Linked DNA regions of Lonchura striata. The protein of the gene in region 1 purifies or fractionates together with the protein of each later gene. This does not show direct contact. Links are inferred from orthologs where the notes say so. Each region holds a gene or a part of one and is shown in the gene's direction. Other genes may lie near its edges. The genes, in order: CTBP2, ZEB1, EP300 and FOXP1.

Region 1 (7,458 bases):
CTTTAAGAGCAATTTTTTTCTACCGGTGCAATCCCTCACACTGGATGACATCCTTACAGTAAATAATATAAAAAGTGATGTGAACCATCCTCCTAATGAATTTGCTTTCACAAGCCTGATACCAAATGTTGGAATTTTGGCTCACCACTAGAAGTAATTGTTCTTGATGGTGCTTATACACGCGTGTCAGTCTGGTGTGAGATTAAAACTATAAGAAAAACAATGCTTCTTCTAAATTCTCAGCTCCAGAACAGTTTACCAAATATGTTTTGGAACAAATCCATCTCTGGTTTGCATCAATCACAGGAGTAAAATGAAGGATGTGCTTCTTTCAATCTATTTTCAAGTCAAAATAGGGTGCTGATATTAAAAGTGGAGTATGTGAGAAAATAAACCAGTCAATTTCTCCATTATCCAAATTTACACTCACAAAAGCCTTTAAGGAAAATGCCTTACTATATTCATATTCCTGCTTACTGGAATTGTATTACAGGCAGATGAACCAAACTCTTGACTTACATTTCTAGAAAACAAGTGTTTCCTGCCAACCATTTGTAAAAAAACCATGAGCAGCTTCTCAATTATTGTAATGATTATCCATTATAACCTAGCCAGTGTATCTGCTCCAAACCAGTTACATTTTAAAAACTGGTAAAAAAATCAATTATTGTAATGATTATCCTTTATAACCTAGCCAGCGTATCTGCTCCAAACCAGTTACCTTTTTAAAAACTGGTAAAAAATAAATGGGGTATTGATGCTGGTGCTGGATACTCAGTGTTCCTCACATCCAAATCTCATTTCTAACGATCAAATGCGGCTCAGAGGGATCGAGGCAGGATTTGTGTCTGCCTGTTCCTGCCTAGCACCGAGTAACTAAGTTGCACAAACACTTGGAGCAGTAAAATAACTGGTCTATTCTAGTCAACAGATACTCTAAATCTGCAGGGAGAGAGATGCTGGCACTGAAATTTATGTATGCACTGAGAGTCATCCAGCTGAAGTCACCGCGACTCCTCGCGCTACATAAAAGCGACGCAGCAGCATCATCTTTGCAGGATCAAGGCCCACATTTGCATCTGCAAATCAACCCTTTTATGAAAAGCAGGCTGTAAATTTTATTTATTATTATTATTATTTTTTTTAGTTCCTCGAGGCGTAGCAGTGCAGCAGGAGGTGCTGCTCCCAGGCTGACGTGTCGGTGAAGTGTAGAGGCAAAGTGTGATTTGCTCCCGGTTGGTGGAGCCTCGTGTGATGGGTGCTCAGCTGCTCAGAGCCAGCATGTGGGTCAGGAAACAATATCCCAACATCACCACTCCCCTGAATCCCCTGCTCAGGGAAAACAAGTTATTCACGAGAGAAGCATGTCATCCTTTACTAAAAATAATTACAAATTCATCAAATAGAACCAGCGCAGACACAGGGGCTGCAAACTTTCTGTTATGTTTTAGTGATAAAGCTGCAACACTGGGCGAGCAGCATTATTGCAGCAAGGGAGGTGAGCCCTGGCTGGCAGGGAACAGGGGCATCGTGTAAATCCTGCACCCCAAACACCCAGTTCTCATACTGGAGGGAATTGTAGGGAGTGCATTTTTAAAAATTCATTTGATTTCACAAAAAATTATGCTGGAAGAGCTCGGTCCCTAATTGTTACCAGGAACTTTTCAGTACAGCTACTGATAAATTAAAATAAATGGAACAGAGGAACAGCTTGGATTTGCTTTGCAGGCATCCCTCAGCAGGACTGGTTTTCTCCCAGCAGGGACTATCAGCACAGCCATCCCCAGTGAGTCCATAAGCTTGGGTGCCTCAGAGAGGTGTGGAACCTTTCTTTTCAGTAACTGCCTGAAACATCGGGCTAGAAGTTGGGTAAAATCTAGAAACAACCTGCAGGAAAGAGGCCAGGAGAGAGGTCTGGTCTGTGCCTGCACACAGCAGAACAATCCTTCTCTTGGGCTTTTAATTCTTCTACTTGTCACAAAACTGCTGCTCCCAAATTCTGGGAAGCCAAAACACCTGATTCTGAGCACACGCTAAATTTTACACAAACCAGTGAGGCGCTGGAGGAACTGAAGCTCCTTCAAGGTTGGACAGCAGCTGAATGGAAGTTTTAAAAGCTGCAATTTGAAGTTAAACCCCCGTCGTTCCAGGCCTCCCACTGAACCCACTGTGTATCTTCTTTCCGAGCATCTCATTACAAAGGCTATTTCACACTTGATGAATGTTCGATCGCAATCCAAATAGTTTGAAGAAAAATCCACATGCCTGAGGATTGCCCCCTGCTAAACTTGAAGATGTGTAGCTTCAGAGCTTTCTCCTTTACAACCTGTAACCTAATTGCTCTGGTAATGAAATAATTATTTGTGTCTTTGGCCTCAACTTATGTCACTGCTTTTGTTTACATCATGAACTCAGGGTTATTTATGGGAAGCAATTGCTGTGTTCCTACCCGGCACCCCCACACACTGTGTGTAGAATGTTTAACAAAGCAAATTGGGTAAAGCAAAGTGAGAGCAGCGTTGTGGTGTAAAAAAATTCCCACTGCAATGCCAGGAGCAAGGCCTTGGTCAGTGCAAATCCCTTCATCCACTGCGCCCCACGTGCAAAGGAGCTGCCCACAATATTTTGACAGTTAGCAGTGCTGCCCATGAAGGAAATCCAAGAAGTCCCAGTAATATGGAAATTGTGATTTTCATGTTGAGGTTTCCTCCAGGCAAGCAGAGTTTTCCCTTTAGAGGGACTTTTGCCAAAGGGAAAAGTGCAGAATCAGATGCATCTTTCAGCTGAAAGCTGCTGAATCTTGCTAAAATCTGCGTTGAGGTGCCTGGCTGTAACCACATCGTGCAGAGCCTGGGCATCACGGGGTGGCCACAGCTGTGGCCATCTCTGCACTGACACCACGGGGAATCCTGGCTCCAGCTTCTGTGGGACAGCGGCAGCAGCCCCGGGCAGCAGGTGCTGGGAGGACAAATGATGGACGTGGCACAAACATCCACCGAGGACGTACAACGTGCTCCTAAGAATCAAGATCTTTAGGCCCTTAACCGCGTAATTCCACCCACAAAAACTGAAGCTCGCTTATTTATTCTGATGGACAACTGAGCTGGTTCAAGGGCTTTATTAGAGTGGAAAAGGAATGTACTGTTTCCCAGGCTGATTGAGAAGCACGGGATATATATATATATAATGCAGGACGCTTGATGATTATACAACAAAAAGATGGGATCACCACCTGCCCACATTCTTGTGATAAGCAGATGAAGAACGTCTGTCCGAACGCTAATTCCCAAATCTACGGGGGTAACACGGAGCACAAACACAGACGCGCCGAGCGCGCTCTCGTTCTCTCGCAGCCGGCCGAACGCCCGGCCGCGATCACCCGCGCTCACACCGACCGGGGGACGCGGCAGCCCCTCGGCCTGCGGGATGTCAAACCCCCGCTGCCCTTCATCCGCCGGCCTGCCGCGCCGCTCCGGCCGCGCCGCGGGGCCGGGCCGGGCCGGGCGCGCCGGGGGCCGGCGGCGGTGCCGGCGCTGCCGCGGGGCCGGGCCGGGCCGCTGAGCGCGGGTGGCCGAACAAAGGCGGCGGCGGCCGCTGCTGCTGCCGCCCTCCCCGCCCCTCCGCCCAGCGCAACAGGCGCCGCGCCCCGCGGAGCCCCTTCCCCGCCCCCGGAGCCCCGCCGAGCCCCTGCCCTGCCCCGCACGGTCCCGCTGCCGCTCCCCACCCCCGGCGCCTCCCCCGCCCCTTCCTCGCTGCGTCTGTTTGTACTTTGGCTGATCCACTAATCCCCCGAGAGAGCCTATTTGTAGTGAAGAGTATCTATAGGGGGCGAGGCTGGTCCATGTGGGTTTGTGTCATTGGTTTGTAAGGAGAGACCCCGCCTATTGCCAAAAAAAAAAAAAAAAAAAAAAAAAAAAAAAAAAAAAAAAGAGAGAGAAAAAGAAGAAGGGAGCGAAAAAAAAAAAAAAAACAAAAAAAAAACGAGGCAGTGAGAGGAGAGCCTCTACCTCTCCTCGCTCTCCGTTCACCCAGCGTGGCGAGGGGGAGCGGCTGCTCCGCCCAACGCCGCCCGGGCACTTTCTGGCTTAAAAAAAACCCCACAAAACACAAAAAAAAAACCAACCAAAAAAAAAAAAAAAAACCCAAACAAAAAAGGGGAAAAAAAAGCAGGAAAAAAAAGAGGAAGAAGGAAGGGGGGGGGGGAAGAGCGGCCCTCCCCCCCAAGTTGCAATTAGCATCCTCTCCACTGCTGCTGCGGGGCTCCGGTGCCCCCGTCCGCTCCCGGCGCGGCGGCGGGCGGAGCAGGAGAGCGGGGAAAAGGGGGGGTGGGGGGGAAGGATTAAGTTTTTTTTTTTTTTTTTTGTGCGGTGTGCGAGCGGGTGGCGTTTTTAAGGTGGATCTCCGGCAAGCAGAGCCCGGCGGTGGATGCGGGAAGGGATGCGGCGGTGAAGAGCGGCGCGGGGCTGGCGGCGGCCGGGAGCAGGTAAGGGAGCGGCGGCGGCTGCGCTTCCCGGCGAGAAGGACAAGGGAAAAGCGAGGACATCTTTGCTTTAGTCAACCTCACCGGCGAGGGGGACAGAGGAGAAGGAAAAAAAAAAAAAAAAAAACCGAGGAGGGGAGGGTAGGTGGAAATGTGATGGTGGAGGGAGGCGGCCGCGCAAGTTACGCGGGTGGGCGCGGAGCGGCGGGTGAAGTGGGAAATCTTTTGTTGTGCCGGGCCCCGCATTGTTTACTTAGTGCCGAGAGCCGCCGACAACATCTGCCGGGGGATTAACGGGGCGGCGGCGGCAGGAAAGTTTGGGCAAGGGGGGAACCCCGCGGTGCGGCGCGGCCGATGCTCCGGGGGACGCGGAGCAGCCGCCGTCTTGCGCTGCGCTTATAATTTATTTTTTTTTCTGGGGGGGGGGTGGAATAGTGTATTTAGTTATTGCCTTTTTTCTTTTTTAATCGTAATTTTAGGTAGATTACGGGGGGGGAATGGTTTCGGGTTTTTTTTAAATTTTAATTTTTTTAAAAATTATTTTATTACTGCTGAATAACCGCGCTCGCCGCTCAGTCACTTAGCAACTCTCCACGCTCCCAAGCCGCGGAGGTGCGCGGTGTCCGCGGGGCCGCGCCTCGCTCCTTCCCTCCCACCTCGTACCCCTCCGCCAGAACTCAGAATAATTTCCCCACTATTTATTCATTACGTGTATTCCCCCCCACCCCCCGATTTGACCATTTTAAACCCTACCCTGATATCACCAGAATGGAAAATCAGAGGGGGTGCGTGGATTTAGGCGCTGAGATTGTTCTTTTCACACCACTCCGCCCCACGATTAAAAAAAAACCCAACATTTCCCCCCCAAACTTGCAGGACTTGCTGAGGGGGAAAGAATAGCCTTTTGTCCTGCCGAGGGACGTGCCCCCAAGGTAAATCCTGGCTGGAGCTCAGCGCCTGGTACTTTGCCGGGTCCCAGGGCTCTGGCTGTGCTGGGGAGGAGGAAAGTAGGAGATGGAGATCTCAAAGTAGTAGAAGTAATTTCTTCTTTCAGCTGCACTCCTGCGCTGCCTTTGAATTGCCTGCAATGAATGTACGTAGCTCTAATTGAAGTACTTTAATCATTCACACTTGATTAAGTATACCGTGACCAGAGGAGAGGAATCCACGCGGCGCCCGGGAACGGGAGGGATGGGATGACATTTTAATCCTGTGTTTTAGAAAACATGAGTGGGGCAGGAAAAGAAGCGGTGACGGTTCTGTGTAACGGTCCCTTGTTTCCATACAGATGGTGCCTTTCCTTCGGGATGAAATCGCAGTTATTGCCGGTATTTGGGGAGGGGGGAGGAAGAAAAGGCACGTACTTCTAGGTTTGTTTAAGCAGAGTGAGGAAAATAATGATAGACGAGATGCCTGGTGACAAAATGCTTTTGTTCCTGTTTCCATCAGTGCGTAAGGGCGCCGACCTGCTTTAGCATTCTTTAAAGGTCTGTCTTTACCAAGGAAAATTGAAGATGGTCTCATTATAGGAGAGTGTGTTTGGAATACTATGAGGTATTTATGAATTCAGAGGTGATTGTTGGATCTCAGACATTTCAATTACGCATCCTCTAGTAAAAAAAAAAAAAAAAAATTATTTGTAGCGATGTGTTCTGTAATCTGTTACTTCCATAAAGCTGATTTGTGCTCGAGCTCCGTAGCTGGCTGAGGGAATGGGTCCGTCCACGGGGCTCGAATCTTAAACAAGGATTTCTGTTCTTTGCCTCACAAAACTTTCTGCTGCAGGGGCAGCCTGAAGTTCCCATAAAAGCGATTCTTTGGGAAACGTCAGCTATCGTCAGTATTTTCTGGAAAATCTGGCGTTGTGAATGCAGGGTGGTATTTTTAGAAAGGAGCTTTTTATTTTTGGAGGCGTTTGTGAAACCCACCTGTTAGCCATTAGGGGGGACAGAGGTTGGCTTTCATCGTTAGCAAACCCTGCGCATCTGGGGGCTGAGGGCTGTTCCTCACTTGATCCAAGCTCTCTCCAGTCATGGGCAATCAAAATATCTTTCCTTTTCAAAGTTACAACCAAGTGTTTCTGAAGCTGAACAGAAAATAAGGTGGTTCAGTCAGAGTGGTGGCACTCTCCTGTGTTCAGGAATACGGATTGCAGGAGCGTTTCACTCTTCCTTTCTCTCCTAGAATTTCAGAGTGAGATGCTTCCCTGGTCCAGGGTTGTATGGCCAATTTTATAGTGTACAAATCATAGATGATGTTTTCTTGCTGTCAGCTTTCTATCTTTTTAAGGTAGTTTTCCAGCCCATGTGGATCTGGGGGTTTGGCTGGCAGGGTGGCTCCAGAGCTCGATGCCCCCTGGAGCTGGCAGCTCCCTCTCCTCCCTCCTCTCCTCCGAGGGCAAAGTTGTGCCCTTTTTCCACTCCTGCTTTTCCCAGATGGAAAGCACTCAAAGGAATTTCCCCACGGCAAGAACTGCAGCACAAACTGTCATCTTTAACGCTGGCACTTCAGTACACAGATTTGTCACTGGGGTCTGGTGATAATATTCCTTGTATCAGAAAAAAAAACATCAGCCTCAGAGGGGGCTGAGGTCTCAGGCATGAGCTGGGAGTAACATACTGATGCCTTTGGCCAGAAAAGTTGATTTATCCATCAGGCTGGCTGCAGTTCAAATAAAACTTCTTCAGTTCAGCTGACTCTGGCAAGAATGAAATATACTAGTAAAAAAAAAAAAACTCTGAATCTGGGTTTGCCCAACCATTCGGAAAAGGTAGGTTAATTTTCCCTGGATGTTTTGGGTTGTTTATTAGCTGTGGAATTGAAAGAGGCTTCGTGTTTAAAGCAGAAGAAGTTGAAAAGCTGCTCAGAACACAGCACTGGCAATTGGCAAGTGTTTTGTTAGGATGTGGTGGATGATGCTGTCTCATAAAACCTGATGGGTGTCACATTTACTCCTTACATAGATCTGGTGAGTGTTC
Region 2 (7,559 bases), on another chromosome or scaffold:
TTGATCAGTCACAACTTCAGATGCAATTTTTAAAAAATAGTATTTTGCTACTGCATCTACTGGTAGAAAAAAAAGTGCTGAAGTAGACATTCTTATCTGAAGTTCCAGGTATTTTGAAAACAAACAAAAAAAACCCACAGCTCTTCACCCTCCACCACTTCTACCCAAATTTTCATTTCAATTCCATTTTGAATACATGAAATTTGCCTTTTGGATGAAGAACATGAAATTATCTTTTCAAGTTTTTTCTCAAATAGTTTTTTGCTTGTGTGAAGGCTCTGAAACTGAGATCACAATGAAAGCTAGTATAAGAATGGAAGGAGAATGGTCCTTGTTATGTTCTAGTACATTCATTTTTTACAGCATACTAACCTGACATAGGTATCAGCACAGGTTAATTGCTTTCAAGAGAAAAACAATATGCAACAAGTAGGGCAAAGGGAGAGCAAGAGAAACAAAATGGGTTTGAAGGCCTTTGTGACCTTCACAAACACTTTTCCTTAATAAGGAAGATGTTAGAAAAAGTCAGTTGCATATGTGCAAGTCATTATACCTATCTATAGCTATGTACTTATTGATGATTTATGTCAGAGTTACACCCTCACATCTTTTCAGCAGGTACAATCTCTTCAAGTTGTGTAAAGATATGACAATTTATTAGATCTTATAGGCTTCAATCTTTAAATGAACAAGTAAATTCATAGTAAAGTATGAAAACAGAAAATAAAATTATGAGATGAGGGAAGTGAAAAAAGGTAATTTCCCATGATAAATATTTACAGCCTGCTCTAAATGAATGGGAAAATTTCAAGCAGATATACCATTTTTTGAGACTGTACAGCATCTGAGGGTACACCTTCAAAACTTATTAGATTCATTTGGAAGCATAAATAGAAATTGGAAGACCATCTGAAAGGGCACTACACTTCTATGTTGTTACCTCAACAATTAACATGTTATTCAAGATTAGTTCCTCATCTGCAGCAAACTGTGTATTTCTGTGTCACTGTTCTCCTAACAAATCTTTCAACTACAATTCCTATAGAGGAGTAAAAGTGCATTTAACAAAAATCTAAAAGAAAAAATCATCAACTGAAAAATCAATTTTAGAAACTGAGATTCCAAGAAATACATGGAATTGAAAACAAAGTTTCACTAATGGAAATCAGAAAAAAAAAAAAAAAAGAACCTCCACAAATCAGAAATTAAACAAGAAACAATACACATGAAACAATACTGAGTTGTTTTCCATTGTAATTCTCAAATCATTAAACTAAATGAACACCCTTAAATCCAGAATACTCAAGATACAGTGTGAAACTCCGTAAGCATCAATAAGGAGTAGATACAAACACAGGACTGATTGCTTTTATTTAATGGTACATATTTAAGAGATCATAAATCGTAACATAACACACAGGAACATTTTTAACACGGGAAAAACTGTCTGTAAGAAAAACCTGGTTTTTGAACATCCATACAACAGTGTGACTATGGAAATATTTTAATTCTTGTCTTCAAACAATGGAAATAAATTTCAAAAAAGGTGAAGTACAGCAGCTGTGCAATCTCGTGTTTTAACTACAATATGCTTATTTAGCTTGCATAAATTCCCATATAAATTGTTACTAGAAATTGTTATGGATGACCACTGTCTTAGAATTCCTCCTTTAAAGAGATATGTTCTCAAGACTGCCTCATTTAGGAGGATGCAGATATATACCTCTTCTCTAAGATTTTACAAATGAATATCTTAATTAATTCCTGCATCTTTGACTGACAAATCAGACTGAAAGCTGTGCACCATAATGGAAAACCAGATTTTCCATTCTTGAGGCACAAACCAGTTTAAATTACACATACAACATGTTCACGTACTGCAGAACATAACAAAGATAATAGGAATTTTAACTAGTTGCTTTGCATTCAGTATTAGAAGAATGTATTAGGTAAAAATTCATTTACAGTGGCTGCTCCCTTAATTTAGCACAGTAAATTTTCTATACAAAGATGTGAAGTGCCCAGTTGCTTGGATTAAATACAACAAAGTTTAAAAATCAACCCCCAAAAACCCAACCTGTCCACATATCTATTTACATATCCATTTAGTTTTCACAATTGCAATCATCAATAACTTGATGCAAAATATTAATCTCTGATTTATTTTTTTTTTTATTTTCTAGACCTCCATGGTCCCAAAGATAATGTATACCAAGGTTGCTTTGGTTTTCTCTTCTCACTTATCCAAATAATAGCAGTGTACAGCTAGCAATGTTCCTGCCAGTTTCAGTTCTGCTCTTCAGAAACTAATGGGCAGCAGGAGTTGTCACCAGTTTCTCCCAGCTGCTTGGAAACCTCAGGAGATTCAAGTTCAAACAGACACTGTGGCTCTTGGAAAATGAGCACAACAAATACCAGGAGACTGTTTCTCTTCTTATTCTGTTAGGAAATATGAATTGCTCAAAAGGAAGAGACAAGAGTTCTTATACAGAGGTGAAAAGTGACAAGACTCAATGAAAATAAGCTCTTCAAAGTTGCTTAAAGAGGGCCTAGAACTTTGTGTGGGCATGCAGGAGAATATTCTTACAAATTTACAAATAAGTTTACAGATATTATTTATTATTTGCAACTACCTTCTAAGAACATGACTAAATTTAAGGAAGTAAAAACTTTGTATGAAAACCTGTATATCGTATTTTGGTTCATCCTCAAATTCATCCACAGAATGATAAAAAGCATCTAACAATTCCAAAACACCTTAAGCACTCATTTGCAAACAGTTTCACAGCCACAGGTTATCTTCTGTGCAGAAACTTTACAAGCAAAGATGTTGAACTAAAAACAAAACTCTCCCTTAAAATGTGTAATTTGCTCACTCAAAATTTGAGCTGACAAGTTTCATTTTTATCTTATAGTTAGTTTCATATTGCAGTACTTAGCCATCCTCATATTTGGGGTTCAGTACTCCCAACTGATGCCAAATCTGATGCTTTTGAATGACTCTGTTAGTCCATCAAGCACTTGGTACTGTTTGATTAGCTTCTTTCATCACTCTTAGGTAGATCCTTATTAAAATGTTGAAGTCAGCAGCCAACCATCACTGAGTAAAGACACATATGCGAAAAAAAACCCCATGTAAACTTAAAGGATTTTTGAGAACTAACAGACAAGTGATTTGTACTTGCAACCACTGTTTTCATATAAGTATTCAAAGCCAAGGCTTAGGGGTTTTTGAGGATACAATTGATTAAGAAAATACCCCTTTGGATCTTTACCTAAATCTGCACCCATTATAGCCCAATACTTCTTTTTTAAGGACTTCTGATTGTCCAGACTTTTGTGGGAGCTTCAGATGCAAGGTACGCCGATAAACGGGCAGTGTTCAGTAGTTCATTTCCTATAGATGTTCTATGCTTCTTCCATGAAATGAGAATGTGAATTCTTGTTCACAGAATGTGAATATATTGTTTGTGGAATAGGGCAATGTAGAACAGCTGAAGGACTCAAGTTTTCTAGTGCATCAATGTCTTATTGAAAGTATCCCATTAAGAGAAATGCTTTCACTGAAATTTAATTTAATTACATTGAATTTCTTTAGATAAAAGAGTTCCCCAGAAGCACAGAACTATAAATTCTACAAAATCATGCCAAGATAAAGGAAAAAAAAAAAAAAAGAGAGAGAGAGAGAGAGATAGAAATAAGGAAGCATAGAAGCAAACTTACTAAATTATTTTATTGCCTGAAGTGAAAAACAAGAGTAAAAAAATAGCACAAATGTTTGATGGTTTTAATTCTTATATACATTAAATAAGTTTATTAAGTACAACCGAGGTTGCTTATTAATTATCCGTGAAAAATTGCTCTCTTCTTTTTGTTCGTTACGGCGCAGAACTTTATACCTCTCCTCCTCTTTGCAGAGCCGGCCAGCACGACTGAGGGCAGCCCGAGCGCGGCAGACTCGAGGCGCGGCGGTGCGGCGGTGCGGCGGTGGGTTCCCGCTCGGCGCGGCAGGAGCGCCGCGGAGCCGCGGTGCGCCGGCCAGGTGCGAGCGCGGCGGGCCGGGAGCGGCCCCGCGCCGGGACAGCCCCGCGGGCCGGGGGAGCACCTGGCGGCGGCCCCTCAGCGCGGACTGCCCCGCGGGGATCCTCCTGCGCCGCCCCGGGGGGCCGGCGACCACTGACACCCCACCGCCGACCCCGTCCCGCTCCGCGGGTCCGCCCGCGCTGCCGGCGGTGCGGGGGTCGGGGGCCCGGGCCCCGCCGGGCGGCGCCGCCGCTCCCGGTACCTGCGGGGGCAACTTTTCCCTCGCCGCCGTTCAAACGCGCTGCCGTAAAGCGCCCGTCTCCCGTGGCAACAAGGTTCCGGGCGAGCACTAGGTGTAGGAAGGTGATGTAAAAGTAAAACCACCCAGTGTCGTAAACCAGGTCCGGGGGGGAGGGGAGGGAGTGAGGGGGGCGGGCGGGGGAGGAGGTGACTGGAGCATTTAGACACCAGCGAGCGGATCATGGCGGATGGCCCCAGGTGTAAGCGCAGGAAGCAGCCGAACCCGCGCCGCAACAACGGTCAGTCACCCGCGGGGCAGCGCCGCGGCCGCGCTGGGGCGGCGGCGGGGCCGGGGCGGGGGCCGGGCACAGCCGTCCCGAGCGCGCAGCGGGGAGGTCGGGCGAGCGCCAAAGTAATTCCCCCGCCGCGGCTCGCCGGGAGCGCGGCTCCCTCCGCACCGTTATATCCGCTACCTGCAGCCTTCCTCGCCGCCGCCTCCCTCCTCCGCCTAGCGGTGCCTCCGCTCTCCGCCGCTGTCCGGGACCGTTACACGCTGCTTCCCCCTCGAGCCCCGCGACCGCCCCGCCGCCGGCAGCGGGCTCGGGGGCCCCCGGCCGCGCCGCCGCCCTCCGGCCCGGGCGGGGACGCCGAGCCCCGCGGGGAGCGGCGGGGGAGCGGCCGCCGCCCGCCCGGCCGCGGCAGCCCCAACTCCGAAACTTGTTACCTGCGCGCTGCCCCGGGCGGAGCGGGGCCTCCCCCCGGCCCCGCGGGCGGGATCGCCCCGCCGCCCGCCCGGGAGCGCCTCTGCCCGCCCGGCGGAGTTCCCTGCCCGCTCGCCCGGCGGCGGGCCGGCTCCTCGCCCCCGGCCGGCGCTCGCCTTTCTCGGGGCGGCGGTGGGGGACGCCGGCCGTCCCCGAGGGGGACACACCCGGGAGCACACGCGGGGGAGGCACCGCCGCCGCAGCGGGCGGCGATTCGCGCGGGGGCAGCGCGGCCGCCCCGGGCCGGCGCCCCCGCTCCGCGCCCGCCCGCCCGCTCCGCGCCTCCCCGCCCCGCCGAGAGTTGGTGCCCGGCGGCGCCCCGCGGCCGCGCTGCCGCCCCGCCGGGCCGCTGGGGAAGGGAGGGCTGCGCCCGGGCGGCGGGGGCGGGCGGCGAAGTTTCTTCCCTTCCCTCTGGCTTCGGAGGTACCTGTTTGTATAATAATGGGTGGTAACGGTTTGGCCGGGGGCCCCCGCTCCGCTCTCCGTGCGTGTGTGACCAGCTGCTGCAGTCTATATAAGGAATTACATGTACATTTCAGGCTTAAGGGCTGCTGTTGGGTGGTGTTTTTTCCCCTTTGGTACGTGTGTTACTTTAAGATGCGATGGGAAGGTACACGGCGGGGGGAATAAAGGCTCGTAACACCCACTCTCTACTTATTTTCTGGAAAATGGAGAAGTAGTTCGGTCCTCGTAGCACGACTCTTCGGAATAGGATGTAGAGTAGGCGATTTTGTAACCCTCCTTGGCAATTTTAGGTTTTATGTGGCATTTCCTGTGCAGGGTTACAGATAGGAAGGCTTTGCCTGCGATCTGAGATGTTTTCATATGCAGTGAACGGTCTCCGAAATAGATCGGAGTCACGATCGGTGCTTCACCTCTCCAATTCTCAGTGTTCGGGGCATAACGCGGTGATAAATGACAGCCTTTCCAGGGGCTAACGGGTTGGTTTGATTGCGTTGAACTTAAAAGGGTTATTTCTGCTGTCTGCGTTTTCTAGCAAGTATTCTTGTTTGCACGCTCATGTTATTAATTCCTTGTCTTGGTGTAAATATTTATATTTGGCTCGTGATTTGGCTGTGCTAAAGGTAAGTTTGGAAAGTGCTTTTCTCTTTACCTTATTAAAAATGTGGATGATCAGAGAAAGGGGCTTTTCTTGTTGCTGACGACAACATGTGTGACATGTGAGTCTGAACCACCCAGCGTCTGTGCAGGAGCTGTAAACATGTTTACCTGAACAGGAAAGAAAATGGATTTTTCTCTTAAAGATCCAGTGATATGAATACCATACTCCTAAAGCAGATCAACAGATGACTTGACAGAGAAATTTTCTGAAAACCTGGCTTTTGAAATCGACGGGGAAAAATAGATCCTTGATTGCTGCAGCAAATGACAACTTGTGCAGGTAGAAAAAAAAGATGGTGTTTAGTTTTCTCCTGCATGCATGTCAGCCCCCTCCTGTCTGCTGCTTTTATTCTCAAGGGAGGGATTTATTTACCATGCTTGCTGTCAGTGTTTTTCCTTTGTGCTTAATATTAGAAAACCAGATTTAAGGCTGTTTAGCACAAACCGTTTTGTCTGCAGCGTGCATCACTTGCAGAAAACAAAAGGTGTATAAGATGTGGTATCATTCCAGGTATCTTTCATCTTCATCACTTTTGGACCTTATTGCTGCGCCCACTTTATTATAAAGAGCCTCAGAGTCTTTATCAACTAGTTCTGTAATGTAAAATGTAGTATGTCTTGGTTTAGGCTGCTTTTGGTTCCTTTTACTGAGGAATTCAAACCAACTTAAGTCGTTGTGCACTGGAACATCAGGATCTGTTAGATAATAGAATCTGGATAATAGACATTTCTCAGCAGTGGGTTTATGTTTGACTTGCAAATATTAACTGAAGAAAATGCATAGAAAAAATGTTAACCCTTTAACCTTTAAAATGAGTAAGTATGAGGCTTTTTTTTCCCAAAGTCGCAGAATGCATTTCGTTCTTATAGGTATCTTCTGTTAATGAAGAATGGGCATAGGGGAGATGCATAAGCAACTGGCTAGTTTGTAGTATAAAAAATAAAAGCTGTTTTTTATGCTGTTTCCTCTCCACCTTCCCACAGAGTATGAGATTATTGCAGAGAGATTGCACTAGACATCCAGTATGCCTGTTAATAATACTGGGCTATGGCACTGAGTTATTATACTGTAAACTTCTTTTTATCTCTTGTTAAACTTAACACAGCTATTCATACACTGTAGACTTTTGTTTTTTCCTTCTTTCCTCTGCTTTCTCTCTGTGTTTGGGAGTCATCCTGGCACATTAACTCTAGCTGGAAAGACAGTCTTATCATCTTAACTCTGGAGCTGGTTCCTTTTCTGCCTTGTTTATTGGTCCCTACAGGAGGTCAGCAAAGAGCCGATTGGTGCTGCCATTAAAGCCTCCACTTACAAGGAAATCTGGCACTTCCTACCTGAAGAAAACTACCCTGTGTCATTGTCCTTAGTTCTGGCCAATGCACAAACAACTTCTACAGCAAAAGAGTTAACAA
Region 3 (8,107 bases), on another chromosome or scaffold:
TGGCTCTAGATCACTAGACATTCAAGCTGCAATATTTCCTAGGCAGAATGTACTTCTGCCCCTCTCATAAATTGAGAGGTCAATTTTTGTCTTCTTTTCCTATTTTGCTCTTGTAAGGGAAGACAGCATGGCATGTTTGTTAGAACTATAATGTTGCATTTGCTAATTAAATAAAGTGGGGTTTTTGGGAGAACTTCTTTTAAGTAAAACCATGTGTTCCAGGGAGGAAACATTCTTCTGGTAAACAGCTGAGCCCTTAACATTTAGCAACATAACTGTGTTTTCAGCTATTGAAAACTGTGTGACCGAGGAAGCCTGTGTTTCTGAGACTGAGGACTGAAAGCATTTTGCTTGCTGTCAGAACGCCAACCCTTTCTTTTATGTATACGCTAAAAGCAAGAAAGAACCAACTATTGGATGGTTGCTTCTTATGGTTTTAATAAAATTTGTCTCATATCAAAATGCTGCTGGGTTTTAATGTTGACGCCGCACTGAGCAATGTTCTCTGCTTAGGCACAGCTAGCTCTTGCTTTCCAGAAATGTAGCTGCAGCCTGGCATTACTTGCAAAAATTGGAGCCTTAAATAATTTCCTCATTCCTCTCACCTGTGCCAGGAAGGACCCTCCATGCCTAGACCTCCTCGCTGGTAGAAAGAAGGGGGTCATTCCTCCTCCCTCCCCATCTGGTCTGTGAGCAGTGCTGCAGTGACATGAGGTAGCTAGGGAACAGAAGTTACCTGCCAGACATGAACAGCAGCCCTGGAAATCTCAGGGGAAAAAAAGATAATAGAGCTGGAAACTGCAAGCAAAAACAGGACTGAGAGAATAGGAGTGCCCTGTACCTGGCTCCTGCTTTCCATTCCAAGAGTCCACATCTTTCAGAGACACTCGAAGGGCCACAGGGTTGTGGGACAAATCCTGCTGAGGGGAAGCAGGGAAGTTTCATTTGTATAAATTATTTCCTGAGCAGTATTAGGGAGCAGGGGAGGCTGGCTGGGTGAGTTTGAGATGTTACACTGCTTCTCTATCCAGCAGCTGGAAGGGGAAGGCCACAGTCCCAGCTCCCTCTGGGCCGAAGGAGATTATTATTCCTCTGCCTGCTCATCCCACTGAAGCTGGACTGCTGAGCTCTGGGCATCACATTGACCTTTGCAGTACAAAGGGATCTTATCTTGTTCTTTGTAGCCCTCAAAGCAGCTGGGCATGCTTACAAATTTCAGTAACTACCAGCTAAGGCCAAACAAGATCCCACGATAAAACTTCAAGGCTCTGCATTCCTCTCTTATTGCTTTCCTGAGCAGATTCTCATTTTAACTGGACTTATGGTCCTTTCATCCAGTTATCTTAAAGTACATAATGACTACTGTAATTACTGACATTAATGAGCTAATCAATTCTTCTAGGCATTATTTTCAAGGGATAAATATTACTATCCTTGCTGTAAGAATGGGGAAACTGAAGCAAAGAGAAGTTTTTTGATGAATAGGTGTGTTTTACTTTTAATATTATAATATCCTCCTGGTTTTATTTTTATAGGTTTATGCATTTTCTTCTTAGTATGCTTTATGTTGTTATTGCTTTCCAGTAATGTTATCTGTCATGGGTTGTGTGCATGTACCAAGGTTCATTTAAGAAAACTGCAGTGATTTGAGAAAACTTAACAGATATTGAATAGTTTTTTGTCATTGTTTATATATATATATTTGATTTATCATAACCCTACTTTCCTGGCTTTTCCTTTACTTCCTCCTTCTTTTATTTTTGGTGCCTTTTTAAGGAAAATACCACAAATAACATTCTTTTCTATTTATTTTCCATATACTTCAGCTTGCATTTAAATCTCTAATCTGGAAAGCCATCTGAATATGACCTTTTAATGCCTAAAGAACTAAGATATTCTACTGGGTAGGAAGCTTGCAAAGCAGAACTATAGCTTTACTGAAGTATCAGTTAATCACTTATATATATATAATTAATATTCAGAAAACATATGTTGGTTTGGTAGCATTTATGTAAGAGTTTAAGTTTTCCACAGTTCAGGTATGCATCCCTGAACCCTTTTCAAGGATAGACAGACAGGTAGCCAGACCAGAGGGTAAACTGCAACAAAAACAAACAACCAAACAAACACCCAACAAACAAACAACTTTATTTTGTTTGCCAGCACAATTTCAGGTGAACTGAATGGTAGGATCTAGTCTCTAGATAGGAACAAGTGTCTCAAAACTCTTATTTGAAACATTTTATTTGCTCCCAACTTGTTGTTTAGTAAGGGCCTGACTTCTAAAAGCATTTAGGTGTTTATGTGCACTTCAGCATCTTTAAAAAGCCAGCACTAATTCCTTATTGAACTGTAGACTAAGGGTCTCCAGTCTGACAATTTTATATTGACTTATTTCAGTCAACTTCTAATTCTAATGAGACCAAAAAGTTAGTCTCAGCTGTGTTAAAAAATTGCTTCACAAACAAGAGAAACTGTCAATCTGAAAAAAAAGCAACAACAAAAAACCAACCAACCAAACAAAAACCCAAAAAACAAACCTGAGGTAACATAAAATCTCTATAACTGGCATATTTTGGGAAATTTAGAAACAATAAAAGGCAAAAAACCTGTGAAAACCACTAACATAGTTTCTAAGGTGTCACTGTTAAGTTTTAGGCTGTTAGTCCTGACAGCTTTAGTTTTGAGACTTTGAGACTTTTTGCACTACACATTATTTTCCCGAGGCTTATTTGTAGCGGCAAGGCTCTCTCCACCTCTCTTAACGTAGTGCCTATGCATTCAAGAATTTTCAGGAAGCCTAAATCCAATCTTTGGGCATTTTTGGAGTGGTTTGTGTTTTCCTTTTTGCGCTGGGGAAGACAAGAACAATCTTGTTTAAAATAAAACCCAAACAAGGGAAGCTGAAGAGTGGGAGTATGTGAGGGAGCTGGTGAATAACTTACAGGGCTGTGAATCTCCTCCTGCCTGTAGGCTCCTCTTGTAGGCTGCAGTATTGATTCTGTGTTTAGTCTAGGCTCTTCCCAAATACCTGCTGTGGCTCTTACGTGGATTGCAGAGAGCTCGTCCCTGAGGGTGAGCGGCAAGGGAAGTCCTCCTCGCAAATGTCCGGTTTTGGATCAACACCCCCTGATTCTCCATCCAAAACATGCACGTGCCTGCATTTCCCTTCCACTCCTATCTCGTAATGGTGTGCGGCCCGACGGAGTCCAAACGCACCGAAGGGAAATGCCGGGATCGGGCATTTCCTCACGGATGAGCCCTCAGAGATTTGAGGAAAACTCGTGGCCCGTAACCTGTGGGACGGCTCGGGGGCTGAGAGGGCTGGCGGAGGACCGCGCCAGTGTCACCTATGCCTGCGACAGCCCCTCTGATGGGCGGGAGCGCTGTCAGGACTCCGCGGTCCCTCGTACCGTGCCCTGCGCCATCCCCGCCACACGCTGGGGTCCGGCGGAGAGCGCGGGGCTTGTGGGCTTATTTATCCTTTGGCGTTTGGGGATTTTTGTCTGTCTTGTAACGCCGACGGGAGCCTGAGGCAGCTCTGGGCACCCCCGGGATGGGCAGTACAGAGCGCCGCCGGATTAGGAGGAATTTATTCACAGAAAGGGCAGTTAAACATTGGGAGCTGCCCGGGGAGGTGGTGGGGTTTCCGTCTCTAAGGGTGTTTAACGAAAGACTGGATGTGGCACTCAGTGCCATGGTCTGGCTAACATGGTGGTGTTCGGTCACGAGTTGGACTCGATGATTTCAGAGATTTTTTAATCTAATTGATTCTGCGATTGTGTGATTCGCACATCCACTCGCCACTTCGGGGGCCTCGGGGTGCGGCCCCGCTGCCCAGGCCCTTTGCTGGCTGGCCGGGTGCTGCCATGTCTGTGGCGCAGCACGGCCCGGGACCGGCGGCAGGAGGGCCCCGCCCGCCGGCGCCGCGGGGAACCGGCCGGGAGCCGGCGGGCGGGAGGGAAGGAAGGAGGGCAGCGAAAGAACCGCGCTCTTCCCGCCGGCGCCTCAGCCCACCGGGCCGGGCAGCAGGCACCGGGTGGTGCAGCAGCAGACCGGAGCGCCCACAAGGTCCGGCCAGGCTCCCCTGGGCCTACGCCGCGCACTTTTGGGCCGACAGATAAGGCCGTATGGGGCGGGGCAGGAAGAAGGAGCCTTTTTTTTTTTTTTTTTTTAAGGGAAAAACCCTTCGCCTTTAAGGGGCGAGGCCAGCGGAGTTTGCGGAAGAGCCCGGAGAGAGACGAGCGCTGAGTGGGTAAGCGCGGTCTCGTGACGGCGGCTGGGGCGGTGCCACGCCCCCCACCCCGCCGGCGCCCCGCGTTCCATTGTGTGCGCTAACGCCGCCGGGCCCCGCCCCGCCGTGTCCCCGCCCACGGGGCTGACCACGCCCCGGTGGCGGCCCCGCCCCCCGTGTTCTCTTGGCTCATTTCCGGCCGCCGCCGCCACCGCCGCTTCCCTCCGAGGGCTCGGGAGAGCGAAGGAACAACAGCCGCCATTTTGTTTGTGTGTGAGCGACGGAGGGAGGAGAAGGGAGCGAGAGGCCGAGCCGGACGGGGCGAGCCAGGGGGAGGGCAGCGCACAGAGACCCAGGGGCACGGACAGGGGACGGGGAGAGAAGCGAGGAATCCAGACTCCCCTCCCCCCCCCAACCCCAGCCTGCCCGTCCCCTCGCTATTCCTTCTCTTTCTGTTTCCTTTTCTCTCTTCTCCTTTTCCCGGAATTCTCTCTTCCCGCACTGCCCTCCGCCCCCGCTTTGCCCGCTCCGCACACACGCCCCCGGAGCGCCAGGCAGGGGCAGTAGGGAGCCTGCGCTCGGCCCCCGCGCTGCCGCCGTCCCGCCCCGGCCCCCCCCGCGGGGCAGCGCCGGGGACCCCCTCCCCCGCCCGGCCATTCCGGGGCGAATCCCCCGGCCTTCCCCGCCGTGATTTTTCTCCTGTTTTATTATTTTAATTTTACCTCTCGATCCTCTTCTCCGAGGGGTAGCTTGCGCGGCCTCCCCTCCCACCCCGACTTCCAACCTCTTCGCTCCCTTCCCCACCCTCGCAGAGGCGAAGGGGGAGTCCCCACCGCGCCCGAACAACAGCCGAGGGTCTCCTCCCTCGCTCATCGCGCCCTGCATCGCCCGTGGGTCCGGGGGAGCTGGGACGGGCAGCCCCCTCCCTGCCACCATCCTCGGCCGCCCGGGAAGGGGGAAGGTAGGCAGAGAGGGCGGGAGGGGCCGGCTTCTTCTTCCTCCTCCTCCTGCCGCTGCTGTGGGATCGGCCCCTCTGCCTGCGCCGGAGCGGGGGGGCAGCCTGCTACTGCGAACGAGAGAAAGAGGAAGGGGGAAGAAGAGAAAAAGAGGGGGCAGAAGGGGTGTTGAAACCCGCCCCCCACCTTCCCATCCCGCGATCGGTGCTGCCTCCATCAGGACAACAACCCCTCCTCTTTGCCTGCACAACAAGATGTGAAGCGGAGACTCCTGGGACTTATCCTCACCCTCCTCATCCTTACAGCTCCCCTTTCTGCAGCCATTAGCGACGGGCGAGGAAGAAGCGAGTGGAGCTGGGGACCCCGCGCACGCTGTGCCACTCCCCCCCGCCGCCTCCCCCCCAGCCCTGTCGCTGGCGGTGGGTATTTTTTCGCAGGGTGGTGTTGGAGGGGGAAGGAGCCGCTGCTAGAGGACGGTGATCTTTTTTTCTTTTTTCCTCCTCCTCTCCTCTCCTTCGCCCGCCTCCTTGTGGCGATGAGGAGGAGGAGGACGGCGCCGAGGAGGAAGAGGCTGATGGCGGCGGTGAGGAGGCAGCAGGAGGAGGAGACCCCCCGAAGGATGAAGATGATGATGGTGGCGGCGGCGAGGAAGCACCAGCACAACAGCCGGGATTAATTTTACTAAAAAAAAATTAAATATTCACCAGCCTCCATTTTTAATTTTTTTTTCCTTTTTTTTTTTTGGCGGGGGCTTTACCTGCTCTTCCCATCTTCGTTCAGCCCTTTCGCCTGGGGGAAGAGGCCTCACCCCCGCCCGCCCCAGCTCCCACCTCTCCCAGATTCTCTGCTGCCGCCCTCCCAGAGCCCGAGAAGCAGAAAAAGGGGAACTTGGCCCCCCTTCTCCGCCAGATCCTCCTCCTCGCTCTCGGCCTTATTGTTGTTCTTCAGCTGACTCCGGGCCCCAGAAGACCGTGAAGGTTTTGGGGTTCACCCCCCACCTTCTTTCTGCTCTGAGCGATTGTCTAAAAAATTAAAAATGGCCGAGAATGTGGTGGAGCCGGGCCCGCCTTCAGCCAAGCGGCCTAAACTCTCCTCACCGGCGCTCTCCGTGTCCGCCAGCGACGGCACAGGTCAGTCTCGGGGCCCCAGAGCCTCCCCGCTTCTTGGTGCCGCAATTACTGCCCCTTTCTCCCCTGTTTTGCTTAAATCTCCTCCTCCCTTTTGCTGCTGTTAGCTCGAGCCTGCTTTTCTCCTTCCCGTCTGTTTCGCCTGTTCTCGCTCCGTTTGAAGCTATTTGCGTTAATGGCATAGGGAGGGTGTTCGGATGTTTTTGCCCTTCTGGTTTTTTGGAAGTGATTGAGAGCAAAGCTATTCAGTTTATTGTGCTTTTGATCAGCTGCAGATAGGACTTAACAGTTCGTCATTTTCGTGTCTTTCACAATAATAGCTTAGCTCCTTGCTAAGCATAATGCCAGTTGCAGAAATACGAAGTGCTAAAGACGATGCTTTTGTACACTTTATTGTTGGATTACGTGTGTGCGCACAAGTTTCTTGGTTTTGTATTTTATTTTGCATATACGGGGTTCTTCTAGATCTTGTTTAAAAACGAGATTTATTTCTCTTGCTGTTTTTCTTTTTTCTTATATGCAGTCTGCATATATGATTTACTTCTTACAATCCTCCGTTCTTCCTGTAGAAGTGTATCAAAATACTGCTTTTCTGATTCAAATAGACCATCGGCTTTAGGAAAAACAGCTAAAACCAAAATTCAGATGCCATGCTTGTGGCATAAGGTTTATTGAGACTTATCTTCTTAGAGATGAAATTTTATTTCACCTTATTTGCCTTAAGAATCAATATGGAGTGTAGTTAATCTTGCATCTCCTGTTTCTTTGCTGCAAGACCAAAATGTCTGAAATTCCCCTGTAGACTTAAAAGCTGTGAAGAGAAAAGGGGCTTCTCTGCAGTCCTGCCAAGGTCTTTGGTGATGCTGGGAAGGCAAGCTAGGACATGGAAATTTTAGGTGACCCAGTCCCCAGCAAATATTAACTGGTTGTACTGGGAATGGGGAGGAAGTAACAAAGGGCTGTTTTTTAATATTTCTTGCGAAGCAGATGAGTATTTGGTGTCATTTTGCTATGAGAATACTCTGTTACCTGGAGTTTCTTTGAACTCTCATTAGTTCCCATTAGATCACATTAGAAACTATTAACCTATGGGATATGGAGGAGGCCTCCTCCTCCTGCCAGTCTGGTGAGTGGTGGCATTTCTGAAGGCACCCGTGCTCTTGTTCAATGCAGTTAACAACTGGCAAGAAAAGGGAAGAGTTGTTTTCTTGTTGTTGGTTTTTGGGGTCTTTGTTTTGTTTTTTCTGAAAAGAGATTTTAATAGCAGGTCTTTGAGCAGTGGATGTGGTTCTGCTTGGGATCATCTCCAAAATTTTGATTTTGCCTATTCTATTCTCGGTGAATGATGTATTAGTTTTGAAAAGTTTGTGTGTGACTTTTAGTGCATATTAAATACAGCCAATATTATGTTGTAATTGGAGGACATGACTATTCCTAACATTAACAGGTCTCTAGTAAGAGAGTAGAAGAGGGTTGGAGAAGCTACTCTTAAGCGAGAACTAGTTGTTGGCTGTTTTTTTGCTAGATTTGGAAAACAGTGATTAATTCAATAGTAACCGTTTTAAATTTGTCTTGATAGTGGTTATTTTGCTCTGTTTAGAGAGGTGAAATAAAAATATTTTGTGAGAAAAGTTCTGATAGTTTAAAAATATGCAAGCTAAAGGCATATTTTGATTCAAATGAACACACATCTAAGTTCAGACATTTGTGAGCAAATAAAGGTTGGATAATTCGTGTATGTATTGCAGTTTAACAGGTGTAGACTCTCACAGAATACTTAGTCTTCAGTT
Region 4 (7,981 bases), on another chromosome or scaffold:
GCTGGAGATGCACAGTCGGGCTCTCCTAACCTTTGTACCTCCTCCTGCTAACCAGGGAGCTGGTTCTGGAAAAGACCTGGCCTGTGGAGTGCTGCAAACTGAAGGGTAAAATATTAATAAGCCAAAGAGGAGCTGGAAGTGTCAGTGAGGCTCCTGCACAGTGCAGCCATGGGGGAGAGTGCTGCTGGTCTCCACACAAAGGGAATGGCAAACGGTTTCTCCACAGAAAATTTCACCCGACCAATTTTTTTGCATGCAAAAATGCAGATTCAGCAGCACCAAAACGGTCTGTGCACACATGCCAAACTTGTCATTTATAAAAACTCAAAAAAGCTCTGACAAATGCTGAAGCTGTTAGTTTTGACACTTCTGACATGAAACACTTTGATTTTTCATTTTGAAACTACTTTGTGTTCAAAATGTCCTTTAATTTTATTTTCAAGCAAGGGGGTGTGTGTCTTTTTTCTTATTCCCCCAAAAAAATCAAAATTGAAATGAAATCTTCAGATTGACTCAACATGAAATTGTTCTTGGATTTTTGATTTCACAAGGCTTTTTTTTCTTAGATGTGTTTGGCTTCAAGTCACTTCTTTTTCACCCCCAAAATTTGCCAGTTGGTTTATCAAGAACCACAGCGAACATCAGTCCCTTTGAAGGGGCGCAGCTGCCACAATAGAATATTTTTTTTTCATGGCTGTCAGTTGCAGAAAGAAGGGAAAAAAAAAAAAAAAAAGGAGCCTTGCTTTTGCTTTCCAGGAGATTGAGTTCATTTTCTATCTGACAGGGATAAATAATAAACAGTATTTTTTTCTTTTTCTGCTGTAAGGGATTGTGTTACGTTATCTGTTTAAACATTCCGTTACATTTTAGTAATGTGAATAATGATTATTCCTGTGCTTCTGAGCTCTCTCGCTTGGCTCGGGCGCCGGAGGTTCAGGAGACACCTGGCATTGTTGACAGAGTGCTGAACTTGAACGCCTCTCACTGTGACAGGGCAAGCCCAAATATTTTGGGAAGAGTCCTTGTTATGTTACGACAGGGGTTGGTAGCACTGATGCTGGGGACAGGTTTTGCTTTAATACAGAGCTGATTATGCTTCATTATTCAGGGAACAGCGTGAACTTGGGCAGGCAGGCTGCTGGGAGAAGGAGGATTGCACTTGGGCACTTCATATTTGTAGGATGTGCTGAAGGTCTTCCAAGAGATGCTGTCTCTTAGAAGAGGTCAGTATAGGAGGTCCTGAAAGATGTTTTTCTGTGGGTGAGAAAGTAGAAGAAATAAAGCTTTTTTTTCCAAATAATATAAATGTTTAATGAAGCCCCTACGTGTAGACAAATACCTGGGGAAGAGCTTGTATTAAAATACCTTTTAAATCATATTTTCTATCCCTCAAGGTGGTGTTTGCTTCCTACAGTGTACATCTTCCCTCTTTGATTGGTTTCCTCTCCTGAAGTCAAGCTGCATCTTGGCAGTGCTTTGTGCATCTCCAGTGCTGCACGAGTGTCCAGCACGCGAAGTTTCATCAGTCATGGACTTTTAGCAAGATTGGATGTGTCCTGGAGTTTGCCAATTCACGTACGGCACGTAATTATATTCAGGAAGCAATAGGAATTAAATGACATTAATTCCCATGAATATTCATTTAAGAATCTCGACCAAATTCAGGCAGATTAATAGTCCAGCGAAAATACAATGGCTATTCATTGCCCCCACAGGAAAAGGAAATATGTATTGGCTGGCAGCTCAGGCCAAATGGAAATGTGCTATAGAAAAGTTATCTCTGGGTGGCTTCTGGTACAGTGGTGGCTGGAGGGACACCTCCAGGAGCAGAGAGGATTACTGTGGGTATGGATGTGGGGAGCCTTTCCCATCCACTGGGAACCCAGAGGAGTCTGGGGTGAATCCAAGACTCGTGTCTCTGCACTGCCTGTGCAAATCCAAACCAGCTCTGACTGCAGAGGAGCTTCTCTGGACTCACAACAGAGCAAAATGTCATTTGTTCTGTGCCTGACTCCCTCTGCCCTGTGCGTGGAGCCAGGCTGCAGCCTGCTCTGCCTGCATCGTGATGCTGCAGGGCAGCACAGCTTCTTCTTTCCCTTACACACAGCACCAAGCTGGCTGTGCTGCTGGCTGCCTGCTCTGCCACAGCCAGCCCAGCACCAGCCCTCGGGGTGGCTGTGGGGCAGCCCTGTCCTGCCAGGCACCTCCTGGCACATGGGAGCTCAGTTCTGTTCCAGCTTGTCCTCCCAGCACAGGCCAGGACATGGTTTCTACTGTGGCCAGGGAAACTGGGAGAGAGTATAATAGCAAAAGCAGATGAAGGATGCAAATACATTTGAAACGGAGGGATCACAATTTGGTATGCTGGAAACCCCCCTCCCCAACAACAACATTTTATTTAATTCCATTTCATTTAAAAAATATCTAGGTTTGGTTATAGCCCTCATTTGGAAGAACTTTTCATTTTGTCAGACAAGCCAACTTGAGACCTTAGCTGTGTCACATTATCTCTTTGTGGGACTTCCCCGGTTGGAGAACAGATCCACCTTCCACTAAAGTTGGTGCAAGTGCTGCTAGAGCATGGGGTTTAGTCTCTAAGCTGATGTTTACACCTTTTAAAATTCCCCCTCATAGGCAAGTTGACGTTTCCTACCCTTGAAGTTCTCTGAGCTAAAGAAAGGTCCAGTTATTTTACAGTGCTTGTGTACCATGTGGGCAGAGGTGCATTTTCTACTTTTTTGAAGGTTATTTTTTGCCAGACTGATCTGACTTGCCCCGACTACACCAAAAACAAGGAAATGTGGAGAGCAGCTATCACCATCTTGCCAAGAAAGAGTTTTGCCTCTAGTTGCAGTATGAGCATACTCACAGGGCTGCTTCTTCTTGTGCTTATTTGAAACAAAAGTCAGATAATCATAAAACCAGGCTGTAAATCCAATGTACATTTCTCTTTACGTCCGCCAACTTTTTGGGGCAGTACATGGTGTGTATCTCATCTTTTCATGTCTGATGTAAAAGGTAAAATAACAGCTGAGTACCCACATGGGCTTTGCACCTACGCAGGAGTGCCAAGTGGGCCAGGAACCCGCCGTGCAGCCTGGTGATGTGCTCTGCAAAGCCTCATAAACCAGTGACTAAGGCAGAAAGGACTCCAAGGCCTGGCTCCTGGGACATTGGAGGTGTGGCATTACAGTAGCTTGGAAAACATTCTGACTTTATAACAAGTAACACCTATAATTACAGAGGCGTCATCACCTTCATTTTTTTTTTTTTTTTTTTTAGCTAACAAGCTGTAGTTGTAGCCTGTATACATCCCTGCCAAAATCTGCGAAGTATTTGCTCTTGGGATGGTTCTACCGGTGGTGGGAATATCAAGCATCTTTCTCCAGGCACTTGTAAAACAATACAGCAGTAAACAATTCAAGCACAATTAGCAGCTACATAGGCAGAAGGGGAGGGAGAAGTCCCACCGCTGGTACTGTCTGTGGAATTAATCATGTTTTACAGAGTTGATATACTGGTTTGGATGTGTGAAGTTAAAAACAAGAGATGAAGAAGTAGCCAATAAGTGTTTATTCGAAGCTGAAATTTAAAACAAGTATTGTTTCATAGCGGTAGAGAGTGTTTAAAAAATGCAATTTTAACAGGTTTTGCTCCATTTTCTTCCTACTGAAGAAACAGATGAACTAAAAAATATAACAAGATGATGTTCGCTTTTAAAGCTGGTGGTCCCGCCAGGTCACACAAACCCCGGTGTCTCCTGCGGTACCGGAGCTGCAGAAGCGGGATGCTGAAATCTCCGCTCCCGGCTCTCGCCCGTTCCCGGCCCCGAGCGCTCCCCGGTCTGAGCGCACCGCTCCGGCAGCGGCGCGAGCATCACCTCCGCAAATATTTATTTGCAGCGATTTTCCGCTCTTAATTATTTAAAATATAATGAATTACGCATAAGTACCTCGCTATTAGGGTAATTCCAGGTCTTAATTGCTGCCGGAGCGGCTCCCGCCGTTCCGCCGGGAGGTGGCGCCGCGGGCCCGGCGCTGCTGCCGGAGCCGCCGGGGCCGGGCGGGGGACCGGGACCGGCACCGGGACTCGGGGAGCGGCTGGGCGCAGCGCGGGGCTCCCGCGGGCGCGGCTCGCCCCGCGGTAGCGCTCCGGACGGCGTGTGAAACCATCGCCCCCGGCCCCGGGTCCGTCCTGCGGGCAACCACACGAGTTCGCCGAAAAAGCAGGGAGGGAAGAAAGCCGGGCGGGTCAAAGAAAGAGTTTTTTTTCCCCCGAACGAGTCGGTCGCTCGGTAACTTGGCGGCCGCCCGCTGACTCCCGCCCGCAGCGCCGGGCAGGACGCGCTCCATCCCCGCGGGGCGCCCGACGAGCGACCCCCGTCCCGCCGGCGCCGCGCTGCTGCCGGCAGCGGGCCGGGGTCCCGGGCAGGGCAAGGGGCTGCCCGGCGGGGCCGCTCCCCTCGCCTGCTCCGGCCGCCGTCAAGCGAGCCCCCGCGCCGCCGGAGGTTCCAAATCCATCGGTGCTGTTAAAACTCGCGGCGAACGAGTGCCGAAGCCGCAGGGCTGGGGCAGCCGGGTGGTCCCGGCTCTGCCCCCGCGGGCGCTGCCACCCCTCTCCTCGGTAGCCCCGACGGCGCGGCCGGAGCGCTGCCGCTCCGCGCACCCACCGAGATGCGGACCCACTGCCGCGCAGCGGGACCCAGCCCGGTCCCCGGGACGGTCAGTCCCGCCGAGCGGCCGGTGCGCGCCGCTGCGCACCCGCGCAGTGTGTCTGAGCGGTGTTTGCGCCCACAGCAGCGGGCGCTGCGGGGCGAACGCAGGCAGCGCCCGCTTCGCCGCTCCGCGCAGGTAAGGCGGCTCCGCGGGTACCTGCGGAGGGCACTCCGGGGTCCCCCGCATGCCTCAGCTCCGCTGGCCTGATGCCCCGCTGCCTCCCGAGCGGCCGCGGAAAAGTTGGTAGGGGTGCGCAGCGCTGCGCGCCCGCCGACGGGGCGGCCCCGGCCGGGCGCTGAGCTGTCCCTCGGGGTGCGGAGGGGCGCGCAGGGATGCGCAGCGCTGCGCACCGCGCTCCACCGCCACTTTCGCTTCCCCGTGGGGCCGCCCCGCCTCCCCCGGCCCGGCCCCCCCCCGCCTCCCCGGCCGTCCTCCGCGGAGCTCCGCGCCTGCGGGGCTCTCGCCCTTCACCCCCTGCGCGCTTCACCCCCCGCTTCTATTATTTTATTTTTTTTTTATTATTATTTTTCCCTTGCGCCGAGCCTTGTTTACCCAGCAGGTGGATGTGACGTCAGAGACTGACAACAGCAAAAAATAACAACATCTCCCTCCGCGGGGGTGTCGTGGGCCGCCCCCGGCCCGCCCGCGCGGGGCTGCGCGGGGCGGGGAGGGGGCGCGGGGCGGCGCGGGGCGGGGGCGCGGCGGGGCGGCGTGCGGGGCCCGCGGGCGCGGCGCCGGGCGGAGGGCTCTATTGTTATTTACCGAGCGGCGGAGCACGCCGCCGCGCCGCCCGGGCTCGGCGTGCCGGAGGGACGGGAGGGAGGGACGGGACGGAGGCAGCCCCGCGCCGCTCCGCGCCGCCGCCCGCCCGCGCCGCGGCCGCGCCGTGCTGGGCAGCGGCAGGGCCGAGTCCTGCGGGTGAGTCCGGCGCCCCCCGACACTTTCCCCGCTCCTCCGGGGCTGTTGCACTTTTCCCCCCGCCGGCCCCACGTGCCCGGCCGCCCCTCCCCGACCGCCGCCGCGGTACCGGGGGGGTGGGGGGATGTGGGGCGGCGGTGCGCGGATGCGGAGCCCCCTCCCCGGGCTGCGGGGCCGCCCGCACCCCCTCCCCGCCCACTTTGGAAACTTCCCCCCCGCCCCGCGCTGCGCGCACTCCCCGCCGTGGTGGGATGCGGCGCGTCCCGCCCCCCTCCCATCCCTGTTCGTGCTTTCCGCGTGTTTTCCGCCGGGTCTCTCCGCGCCGCCGCGCAAGGGGCGCGTACGCCCCAACTTCGGCGCTCGGAGCAAGAAGTTGCGGTGGGGCCGCGCCCCCCCTCCCCCCCGTGCTGTGCCCGGCTGCCCGTTCCCCCCTTCCCGGGCACCTGTTGCGGCTTCACGCCCGCGCAGCCCCTTCCGCAGACGCGGAGCCCCGCGCCGCGCATCCGCCCCCACCGCTGGTCCCTGGGACGCGTTGCGCCCATCCCCCCTCCCCTCTATTTCTTCTTCTTCTTTTTTTTTTTTTCTTTTTTTTTTTTTTTTTTGAAACGAAGTGTTTGAATAAACACCCGCGCCTCCTCAGCTCAGCCCGGCGCAACTTCTCACTGCGCGGGTGCGGACCGCGCATCCTTCACGCGCGTGTGTGAGCGCACGTCCCCCTCCCGCGCAGCCCCGCGGTGCGGAGCCTCGGGACGGAGCCGCGGCTCGCTGCGCGCCGCGGAGCCGCCGCCGCTGCCCGGTAAGTAGGGCCGCCCCGCGCACCTGCCGGCCCGCGCTGCGCGGCCGCGTCCCCGGGCAGCGGAGGGGTGCGCGCTGCAGGCGGCGGCCGAGCGGCGTGTCCGCGCCTCTCTCCTCCCCACCCCCGCCCCGCCGGTTTGTGGGTTTCTTTCTTTCCTGGAAAAAAAAAAAAAAGGCAACAAAAAAACCCAAAACAACAAAAACCCCAAACCAAGCCATCGAGCGGGGCGCGGACAGCTGCGCGGGCAGGGCTCCGCGGGGCGCCGCGCAGCCCCCTCCGCTCCGCCCGGCAACTATTAATGACCGGGCGGCCCCGGCGCGGACAGCATCGCCGGGCGGGCTGCGAGCGCCGCGCTTTCAGCGACTCTTCTGCTGCCACTTCGCTGTAATGATTTTAATTGCGTGTTTTTGCTTTGAGTGAACCAAGCCGAGCGCGATTACTTTTTTTTTGTTTTTCCTTTTCCCCCGTCCTTTTCCCTCTGAGCCTGGCAGCGGCGGCAGCGCGCAGCCCTCCCGTCCCTACCCGAGGCATCTGCCGCCTGCGAGCGCTCTCTGAGCCGCTTCTGTAGAGAAGCTAGAGCTCAACTTCCGTGCTCAGAAGTTTAAGGTTTCATTTTTAGTAACTGTTCTCGGAGTGAGTAATGGATGTGTACTGCTCGTAGCGTGGCGTCTGCACCATATAGCCTGCTGATTTCTGGGGTGCTGGATGGTTCTAAATACTAAAACAGTTCTCTAAACTGTGTTTCCTTTCCATACAGTTTTTCTAAACTTGGATTTTACTTGATTTGACGAAATGTTGGTGTCACTAGTGACAGATGCTTAATTAGACAAAGTTGCAAGCATGTCATCAAAGAAACTTTTTTACCTTTGCTGTTAATCCACGGCTTACTTTTAATATTTTGGAAAACAGGCATTTTGCTCGGTTTAGGATTATTTTTGCAGTTTTTATTACTGCTGAACAGCTCTTACGTTTTATAAGTTTGAGAGAGCCTGAAATAACTCAAGTTCCCAGAGAAGCGAGTGTGGGCAAGGAGGTACCGTGCATCTCGGCAGCTACATTTGGGGGAAGACAGGGAAATCGGGGCTACTCGTTTCAGCTTCTCTCCTCTGAAGCTTTTCCCCTGCACATTTTGTTTGAACTATCTCCCAACCATATTGAATGGACCAGGGCACTGGGGGAGGAAGCTCTCCACTAGTTACCATTCAAAAGGTGTCGGCTAAAATCTCATTGCAAAAAGGTATTGTAGCTTTAACATCTTGCATTGGCAGCATTCTTCCCCCTTAGTCTTTGGATTAGTCATTGTATGAGAGACAGGAAAAAAAAATCACTTTTTTTTTTTTTTTCTGGAAAAAGTAAAGTAAACAGCCTCCAACAAGTGAACCTTGACAACCCAGATTAAGGAAGGCAGGAGAGATCAAACAAAGCTGCTGCTGGGCTGTTGTCAGGAGCTGCCTCACTGAAAGCTCTGGACTATTCGATCAGGCAGCAAGGCTATATGTTCACTTATGCAGAAATGGACCATTACAAATGCTGATCTTTGTTGTGAAACCAA

What was found.
Region 2: the proteins of CTBP2 (region 1) and ZEB1 purify together in Homo sapiens (affinity purification with western blotting; 5 studies listed by BioGRID and IntAct, with this or other methods). This does not show direct contact. The link is inferred for Lonchura striata from reciprocal best matches to the Homo sapiens genes CTBP2 and ZEB1.
Region 3: the proteins of CTBP2 (region 1) and EP300 purify together in Homo sapiens (affinity purification with mass spectrometry; 5 studies listed by BioGRID and IntAct, with this or other methods). This does not show direct contact. The link is inferred for Lonchura striata from reciprocal best matches to the Homo sapiens genes CTBP2 and EP300.
Region 4: the proteins of CTBP2 (region 1) and FOXP1 purify together in Homo sapiens (affinity purification with mass spectrometry; 3 studies listed by BioGRID and IntAct, with this or other methods). This does not show direct contact. The link is inferred for Lonchura striata from reciprocal best matches to the Homo sapiens genes CTBP2 and FOXP1.

The regions. Positions count from the first base shown.
Region 1 is NC_134609.1:29,530,413-29,537,870, reverse strand, and holds the start of CTBP2 (C-terminal-binding protein 2), read left to right. Parts: upstream 1-4,362; 5' UTR 4,363-4,483; intron 4,484-7,458. UniProt on the Homo sapiens protein: Corepressor targeting diverse transcription regulators. Functions in brown adipose tissue (BAT) differentiation. Isoform 2 probably acts as a scaffold for specialized synapses.
Region 2 is NC_134603.1:142,312,440-142,319,998, forward strand, and holds the start of ZEB1 (zinc finger E-box-binding homeobox 1), read left to right. Parts: upstream 1-4,449; 5' UTR 4,450-4,504; coding exon 4,505-4,562; intron 4,563-5,347; exon of another isoform or gene 5,348-5,447; intron 5,448-5,993; exon of another isoform or gene 5,994-6,410; coding exon of another isoform or gene 6,411-6,426; intron 6,427-7,559. UniProt on the Homo sapiens protein: Acts as a transcriptional repressor. Inhibits interleukin-2 (IL-2) gene expression. Enhances or represses the promoter activity of the ATP1A1 gene depending on the quantity of cDNA and on the cell type.
Region 3 is NC_134607.1:24,935,642-24,943,748, forward strand, and holds the start of EP300 (histone acetyltransferase p300), read left to right. Parts: upstream 1-4,906; 5' UTR 4,907-6,226; coding exon 6,227-6,320; intron 6,321-8,107. UniProt on the Homo sapiens protein: Functions as a histone acetyltransferase and regulates transcription via chromatin remodeling. Acetylates all four core histones in nucleosomes. Histone acetylation gives an epigenetic tag for transcriptional activation.
Region 4 is NC_134614.1:20,739,220-20,747,200, reverse strand, and holds the start of FOXP1 (forkhead box protein P1), read left to right. Parts: upstream 1-4,832; 5' UTR 4,833-4,850; intron 4,851-5,563; exon of another isoform or gene 5,564-5,633; intron 5,634-6,234; exon of another isoform or gene 6,235-6,429; intron 6,430-6,794; exon of another isoform or gene 6,795-6,813; intron 6,814-7,981. UniProt on the Homo sapiens protein: Transcriptional repressor. Can act with CTBP1 to synergistically repress transcription but CTPBP1 is not essential. Plays an important role in the specification and differentiation of lung epithelium.